Coturnix japonica: one gene and its partner. The protein of the gene in region 2 purifies or fractionates together with the protein of the main gene of each other region. This does not show direct contact. Links are inferred from orthologs where the notes say so. Each region holds a gene or a part of one and is shown on either strand. Other genes may lie near its edges.

What was found.
Region 1: the proteins of USP49 (region 2) and CETN3 purify together in Homo sapiens (affinity purification with mass spectrometry; 4 studies listed by BioGRID and IntAct, with this or other methods). This does not show direct contact. The link is inferred for Coturnix japonica from reciprocal best matches to the Homo sapiens genes USP49 and CETN3.

Annotation. Positions count from the first base shown.
Region 1 is NC_029547.1:53,317,959-53,322,355, reverse strand, and holds the start of CETN3 (centrin-3), read right to left. Parts: upstream 2,938-4,397; 5' UTR 2,827-2,937; coding exon 2,810-2,826; intron 1,135-2,809; coding exon 999-1,134; intron 1-998. UniProt on the Homo sapiens protein: Plays a fundamental role in microtubule-organizing center structure and function. As a component of the TREX-2 complex, involved in the export of mRNAs to the cytoplasm through the nuclear pores.
Region 2 is NC_029541.1:4,731,086-4,735,392, forward strand, and holds the start of USP49 (ubiquitin carboxyl-terminal hydrolase 49), read right to left. Parts: upstream 3,063-4,307; 5' UTR 3,058-3,062; intron 2,718-3,057; exon of another isoform or gene 1,579-2,717; intron 1,571-1,578; exon of another isoform or gene 1-1,570. Other genes in the region: MED20 (mediator of RNA polymerase II transcription subunit 20), read right to left, coding at 3,063-3,233, 4,039-4,236. UniProt on the Homo sapiens protein: Deubiquitinase that plays a role in several cellular processes including transcriptional regulation, cell cycle progression or innate immunity.

The DNA of each region.
Region 1 (4,397 bases), on a different chromosome or scaffold from region 2:
TTCAGGGCCATATTTAATTAGACTGGTAATAAATGATTTTGCCACCATGACCGCTGAGAATGTGAAGAACACCCTGACTGGAAAAACTGTATGAATAGTCTAGTCTGCAGTAGTATCCCTCTCATTACAGCTTCCAACAGAGGCAAAACACACAAAATCTAAAAAAAAAAAAAGAAGAGGGAATCACTATACTCACAACATTATTGTAAAATTAATTAAAGTAAAACAAAAGCCCTTTTTCTTCTTCAGCTACAGGATAAAATAAGATTATGGAACATAAATATTCCTTTCCAAAATTATCTTACTCAATACATTAGAGGAATGCTGGCCTCTCTATAAGACAGTATGTTCTTGATGAAGTATAATTTACATAGAAATTTATGAGAGATTTAAAGAGACTTTCATAAACAAATGAATCAATTCCACAGACTGCCAAACAGGAGCACCCACTAGAAAATGCTGCCATCCTAATCTCCATTTGCTGATAGATGTTAACAGGAGAGGCCAGCATTGGGAAAGGAAACTACAGAGCAACACATAAATATAGCAGACAACATCATTGGTATACACGCTCCCTGCTGAAAAAAATGCAAGTGGGTAAACTCCAGCTTCTAGTCATGTTTTATAAACTTGACATATCTTTTATCTAAGCATTTGAGACACTTGGATTTTAACAGCATCAAGTTTTAGATTATACAGTGTCTTCAGAAAAACCAAGCAGAGCTTCTCCAGCTTACTCATCTGCCCAAGCTAAACTCTAGGGAGCAGTAAGATCTGCTACACAGTATGCTATAGCAACTCTACTACTGTGGCAAGTGTAAGACGTAGATGAGTCTTACATCAATACACATCAGCAATTATTCAAATATCCCCACTTCAGCCTTGCAGGACATCTTGACCATTTAGCATTTTTCAAGATAGAGTTGATAACTTAAAAATTCATTCAGATGTATAATACCTGCCCCAAAGATATTTAAATTCTGAATAAATAAAAATACCTTCAACTCATGGTAATTTATTGCTCTATCTTTGTCTGTATCAAACAACTCGAAGGCATCTTTAATTTCTTGTTTCTGTTCCTCAGTCAGTTCTCTTCTCTTCTTCTTTTTAGTTTTGTCTGCTGAAAGCTCACTCCTACATGACAAGAGGGAAATTCAATACAACTGATTAATACTGGAAAGACACCATTTTCCCACCAATAATAATAATAATAGCACAAGTTCATTGCCATCCCCATTCAGCTTCTTCCCAACTTGATCTCCCAGTTTGAAGTAATACCTGAAACAGGCAATTCCTTTGCACAGGTTGAATGGCTTCTCTACTCCTCTGCCCAGCAGAGGTGATCTAGTTAATAAACAATCAATCAATCAAAATTAGAAAAATCTACCAGTTAAAAAGAATACTTGAGGTTGCAGTTACAAGATAGACTGCAGCTGACATGGTACAACTCTAGAAGACACCTTATTTCTAAACTGTAGTGAAACTAGAAAGTTTTAGGAGACAGCTAGAGCTTTAGTTAGGCATTTAGTCCAGCTGCTGAAGTGAGTGTTAAGTGCCATAAATCTTTGGATTTTTTGCCAGTAGAGTTTCATTGATGCCAAATATTTATGGATTTTTAAAAATATTATCATATACATAATAAACCAGATACGTTTTTGCTCTGTTGCTCATACATACAAAACAGTCAAGTCCCCTAAAAAGGCTGAAAGCACACTCTTGGGATATGCAGACATAAAGGTCTGCAATCAACAGCACAACAAACCTGCAGCAATGAGCACAGCTCCTTTGGTGCTAAATCCTACCATTCTGCAGTTGTGCACCTGCACCCAAAGTACTGCATTGAATTGGGGTGCCCCAGTACAACAGATGCAGAGAAGATGGCTAAAATAAAGGGGACTGTGATCAGTACCTAGGTGGCTGCAGCATCTGGTTAAGGAGGAGCTGAAGGAGATGCGTTTGTTTCAATCCAGGTGTGTTGGCAAAAGGACCCTGTGTGGGAAGGCTAAGGCACTGTCTAGAGGATTAGACAAGGCAGACAGGCAAGTCCCCATCAGAGATGCATAGCAACAAGAGTCAGCTACAAGCAGTAAAAGCAGAAGGTGGTAGCAGACCTAGAAGGTCTACCACTGCCACAGTGCAAGTGGTTATGCAGCAGAATAGCTCCACTGGGAGATCACAGGATCTCAGCTGTTAGTAGTGTTGGGAAAGGCCCTCAACCTCCACCTCTGAGCAGAGCTGGACAAGATAACTTTCACAATATCTTCCAAACCTAGGCTGCTGTGCAATTCAAAATGATCTCAGGAAACCCTTTATATTCACTTACCTGCAGCACTGACAAAACACATGTAGTACCACTTACTGCACAGTGCATGGTAGTCACTTATGTGTGAACGGAGAACTGCTTTCCAAAGGTGCTTACTCCCCACACCCCGTAACCAGCTCTTTTTTCTTCCCCCTCACTGAAGATTATCTAATTCTAATTGACATCGGAGATTAACCACGCAGCTGAGATTTATCTGTCACCAACCAATGACCGGCACCGGGCAGACTCCAGAGATAGACACGAGAAGCACATGCCGGCTCTGTTACCTCACCGTGCCCCGGCCGCCGCTTCGGGAAGGCCCCACACGACTGTGCCGGACCAGCAGCTGGGACGCGGACAGCCGAGAGGAATCTACTTACAGCTCTGAATGCAGATTAACGCCGACACAAACACGGCGGTGACGAGGCCCGGCCGCCCCGTAGGAACACCTCCTCCCCACCACTGTGCCGCCCCGCAGCCCGACCTGCTGGCCGGTCGCACACGTACCTCAAGGACAAGCTCATACTACCGCCACTGCCGCGTCCCAACGCGCCGACTTCCCCGTGGAAACGACAAGCCACGCCCCCCCCGCCTCATTTCACCGTCTGATTGGTTATCAGCCAGATCTGCTCCCGCCTTCTCGACGCGTTCATAGGTTATCGCGCTGCCACTCAAGTAGAAGGGAGCGTTCCGTGTGGGTCAGCTTAAGTTGTGTCGCTGTGGGAGGGGCGGGGCTTACTGTGGAGGCCGTCAGTGCGGTGACGGCGGCGCCATCTTGGGAGTGAGCGTGGATATGGCGTGTTTCTCCACACGCAGGGCAGCGCTGAAGCTGCCGCCCTTTGCAGGCTGAGGGTTGGCTCTGGTAGGATGTGTCCTGTGTCACCCTTGAGAAACGTCAGCAGTGACATGGTTGTGCACAGTCAGTGTATGGGAACAGCTTCTGAAAGTCAGCACTTATCAGTCAGCGCAAGTCTTATTAAAAAACACATCAAAGACTACGTATGAAGTATTCTGATACTTATTTCAAGTGTAAGAATTGGATAATGATCTGATCTAGCAGCACGGAATGTGATTAGGTACCTGTAGGTGCCTAATAGTCATATGTGAAAGACAGAACTGTTTCTCTTTGTTTCAAAGCTTGCTCTGTGAGGCCTTTCTGGTGATAAGACTCTTAACTGACAACTGCTAATTATCTCTAGGGGGATGAATGGTGGGTGTCACCATGCCACTGTACCTCTGCTTATGATTGTAAAGATAAGCAGAAGTGGGACAAGCAGTCTCTTTCAGGGGTGCAGCATGAAAGAGCTGACCACTGCAAAAGGCGATAATGCTTGTGCATGACAACAAACATACCACCCCCTGCTGTCTTATCTGTTGGGTCAGGAATGTCACACTGACTGAGAGAAAAGAAAAAAAGAAAAAAAAAAAAGAAAAAACAAACAAACAAAAAAAAAAAAAACACCACAGAAATAGTGGATAAAAGGCCCTCACTAAACTGGGGACTTTGGAGACAAACCCCCAAAGACACCTTTGATGGAGAATTCCCTGAGGGGAAGACCTCTTTGGAAGAACCACCCCCCGCTTGCTGTGGAGCTTCCTGGCTTTCTCCCATCCCATTTCTAGGACTTATAATAAACTGGTTGGACCAACATTTGAACCATTGTTTCTTAATCTCACGCCAGGTATACATATGTCAAAGTACCTCTCCTTCCTCCTATAAATTGGAGCAAGATGTGTAGCTCATCTCTCATTTTTCTGGCTGCCAGGAAGCTTACTGGTTGCCTAAAGCCAGCTGTCAAGTATTTATGTGTTCCACGGACAAGAAAAATACACCTATGACTCTGATCTACAAGAAGGGTTGTAAGGAGGATCCAGGGAACTATAGACCCATCAGACAGACCCTGGAGCTAGGAAAGGTTACTGGTCTTGAGTGAGATCACACAGCAGATGTGAGACAGCAGCACTAACCATTCTTCTGTCTGTCTATGTGTAGGGCCTATCTGTGAACACTATACCAGGTATTGCCAAAAGCCTGCTGGAAGCAGTTTTGCTTCTTCATTAGCAGAACACCTCAGAAAACCTGTGCCCAAACATA
Region 2 (4,307 bases):
TGTCCTATAGAAGGTCTCAATGGAGGAACGCAGCTGCGGCCCATAACTCTTGGCTTGATCTTCCATGGTTTGACTGAAAAGAACATCAATGCACTGAAGCTTTTCTCCATTAAACTGGTTCTTTCAGATCCAGCACTGGGTTCACACAGCAAGAAAAAAAAGAAAGTTTCTTTCCCAGTACACTTAGTTGGGGGTGTAAAAGGGTTTGTGATATATACTGCACACTGAGGTGTGCCAGAAGAAATAAATGGAGTGTGTTATTTAGCAGTTCCAATTTGCCTGCAGATGTGCTTTTTTTCCCTTAGTTAAGCAGCCTTTTGAAAACACATCTCTGTATTGTGACCACACATTTGTCACCACCACCGTGTTACACCAGATACATTTCAAATGTGCTCATAACAACTTCGAGCCCTCACATCCACGTATTCCAATGTTCTTCTTCACCTGAAAACGCAGCTGAACCACACAGCAAAGCAGTGGGACAAGGAAAGGGCCTCAGTAACAGCCCATGTTGTGCTGCTGCTTTCTCAGGGAGCTTCCAAAAAGGGCAGCATAGCAATGGAGCTGCCCGACTGCAGGAACTTGCCTTGTGAGCTTCCTTTTGAAGCATCCCTTCCACCCAAGTCTGCTGGCTTCAAACCCATCTTTGTCGTGCACTGGAGGTGTAACAGTTAACATCAGCTCATTACTGTCAGCTAATTAACAACACTTAGCACAAAGCAGCCAAGTTTTCTTTGTTTCTACCTATGGTACTAAATCACTTTGCAACAGCATGGGGGGGGGGGTAGAGGGAGATCCTTCAAAAGCAGCAGAAAACAGTGCAATAAAGAGCATTTAATTTGCATTGTGCTCAGTATGCTGCAATAGGAACCACTCGCTGCAGACATACCACAAACTTGCTTTAGACCACGGAGGAATCACTCCTTGATGACGCTCAGAACTCAGCCTGGGTTTCTGCCTCCTGTCCCTCAGTGCAGGGGCTGTTTGTGCTGTGGGGCCATAAATGCCAGTGGTGGCAAAGCTGTGCACGGCTCAGCAGCATCACCAGAGCCATCTTTGATCTCAGAAGTGGAGAGTGGCAGCGGTGCACACAAGCAGGAAGAAACAAGCAGCACATTCTGGTTTATGCGTTGGATGTTAGGAATATACCGATTTCCCACTTAAATATACATATGTATTGAAATTGCTTAGCGCAGCTCATGTGCTCCAGAGCAATTGTTCATTAAGGGCTTCGTGCTAACGAGGATGGTGTTCCACTGAAGGGAGCCGTGGGGGGTTCGTGCTGCCCAGCTCAGCTCTGCTGCTTGTGCTGAAGCGCTCAGGGAAGGTGCAGAGTTCACACACAGAGCAATTAACACAAGAGACCAGAGCGGCTCTGGAGGTTTCAATCCCCACAATAGGGAGGGGAAAAAAAACCCAACCACCCCCAGAGCCCCAACCCAAAGCACTGATGGAACATTCAGGGTGAAAACCACAGCGGCGCTGCACCAAAGTTCTCACAGAACTCTCAGCATTGAGCTCCCAGGCAGCAAGTCCTTCACAGCACAACAAGCTCAAAGCTGTTACTATGGGACTCACCTTTTTCTCCCATTTAATCTCAATGGCGTTACGGGTGAGATTTCTCAAACCACTGATCTCAGCATCTCTCTGTTCCTTTCTATCGAGCAGCTTGAAGACAGAAGCCCTGAGTTCTGCTCTGACTCAGGGCAGCTCCAGAAACCTTCACTACTTCCTCAAACCAAAAGTGCACGTGAAAGAATTTGTGTCTGCACATCTTGTGCGACAGAAGCCGAATCCTCAAGCAGTTCCATCTCCAGCTGATCTGAATGTGAAGCTCCTCTGATGGTGAGAACACAGCTACGCTAAACTTCGTGACTCCTAGCAGAGGTCCTAAGACATAAATTGATATCAAAGCAGAGGGGAGAGGAGGACAGAGGGGGAAGGACTCAGCACTACCGAAAGAAGCCCTGAAGCTGATTAAAATAAGACCTTACAAGATGGATTCTGTAACACGGCGCTTCTGCCACCACCGAAGTACTTGTAGCTCCTCTGTAAGTGCTGAGAACCAACCAACCATTTAAAGGAAGCAGCCAGCAACGAAGTGCATTTTAGCAAGGAAGGAAGCAAAGTCAGCGGCCAGACACGGCCAGGGAAGGACAACAAGCAAGTTATGGACCCCAAACGTGAGATGACGAGGAGCTGCAGCAGGAGCCGCTCCGAGCTGCCACCCCCGAGCGGCACCAACGGCCCCGGCTGAGCGGGACTTTGTTCTCCCGGGAGCTGCTGAGCACATCGCGGGGCTCAGCCCGGCGTGTCGGCAGCTCCGCAACCGCTGCAACGACCTTTAACTCTAAAGCAACGACGTGTGGATGCGCAACAGCTGAATAAAGCCCCGATTACAACGCGCTGCTGCTGGATAAAGAGCATCAACTGGGAACAAACACAACTTGTGCAACAGCAAAAGGCCCCGAACGCGGCGCTGTCAGAACCGCCCTCACACGAAGGGACACGCGGGGAAACGAGTGTCCGAGCGCTGCGGTACCGGCAACAGCGCAGCGAGCCCGGCCCAGGGCCCGGAACCGACCCGACCCGACGGGCAGCAGCTCCGAGGCGGGGAACGGAGCCTCAGCGGGACCGAACTGAGCCGGGATCTTGGCGGCCCCGACCCCGCGGGCCCAGCGAGACGGCCGGCAACACGAGGCAACGCCGCCCCCCTACACCCCATATCCCCCATATCTCCCATATCCCCACATCCCCCCATACACCCCTCACCCCCCCCACTCTCTCCCCGGGCCCCCACACACAAAGTTCTTCTGTTCCCGTTCCTGTCCGCTCTAGTTCCCCCCCTGTCACACCAAAAGGCCTCTCGCCCCCCGGCCGGTTCCTGCCCTCATTCCCGGTTCCCCACAGCAGGTAACCCCCCCCCGTTGCCCCCCCCGCCGTGTTCCGGCCCGTCCCGCAGTTCCCGCCCCCCGCAGCGCATCGGGCACCGTGTGTGGGTCGGACCCTCCCACAGCCCCGTGGTTCCCCCCCCCCCCCCCCCCTCCCTTTATTTACCGCCATCACCGACACGAGCTGTCACCGCCGGGAGACCCCGCCGCGCCGCGGGACACGCCCCCTCCCCGCCCATTGGCCGCCCGCCGCGCCCCGCCCCTCACCGCCATTGGTCGGAGGGCGCGCCACACAACGCGCTCGCCCCGCCCCCCTCCCCGTTCCCCATTCACTTCCACCGCCTACGCCAATTCCGTAACCGTCTCTGGAGCTAACGGCGCTAAAGGCGCTCGAGTGGACGCTGTTTGCGTAGCTAGCGCCGTAGTAATCGGAGGTCTGGCGGAGCTTACGAGCTTTGCGCAGCCGCTAGGGGGCGCTCCTGAACGGCTCACGGTTGCGTAGCGGGAGGCAGCGTTAAGGGGCGGGGAGCGGCTGGGCCCGGCCCCGGGCGGTGACGTAGCGGGCTTTGTGAATCCCGGCTGAAGTTGAGGGTCAATAGGGATGGAGCAGACAAAGGGATCTTAAAGGGGCAGCGCGGCGATAACGGGGCCATGGGGGGGGGGGGGGGGGGGGGGGGGGGCAGTGAGGTCTGCAGGGATCCCAGCATGTTTTACATCTTTAAGACCAACCTTAGGGAATGAGTAAAGCGTCACAATGTTCAGCGTCACTAAAATGGTCATTGAAAGGAAACTCTTTGTTTTTAACCTTATTAAAAAGTGAAACAACTGAAATCGCGACCCAACCAAATCCAGGGTTTGTTTTTACAGCCACAGCCCGAAACCAGCACCTGGAAACCAACAGGCACAGTGCAGTCAATGCACATGGACCCCACCGGGAGCTGCAGGAACTCGGCACACGATTCCTCGTGCAGTTCCCTCATGGTGATGCTGCCATTGATGACGGCTCAGCAACCGGCTCCTCCCAGAGCTGCTGACATCACAGTTATTCAGTGCCTTGTTCTGGCTGCAGAGCTGCTCTTTGGACGGACCCCGACCTGCAGCTGCTGCACATTGAGCTCCACGAGTCCCTTCACCTGATCCCTGCTACCGGCACCTGCTGCTGCTTGCGGATCTTGTTGAACAGCTCCATGTACTGAACCATCGTGTCCGCGGGGCTGTAGACGCTGTCGTGTTTGGTGCCAAACACAGTCGGGATGCCGGGAGTGTGGCTGCCCATGAAGCTCTGCATGAACTCCATCAGCAGGTTCCAGCAGTCGTTGGCGATCACACAGGGGCAATACTCCACCTGGCAACAAAAAACAGCCCTAAATGAGATATGCATCAAGAGTTTGAAGCCAGCAAACACCTCCTCTGTAC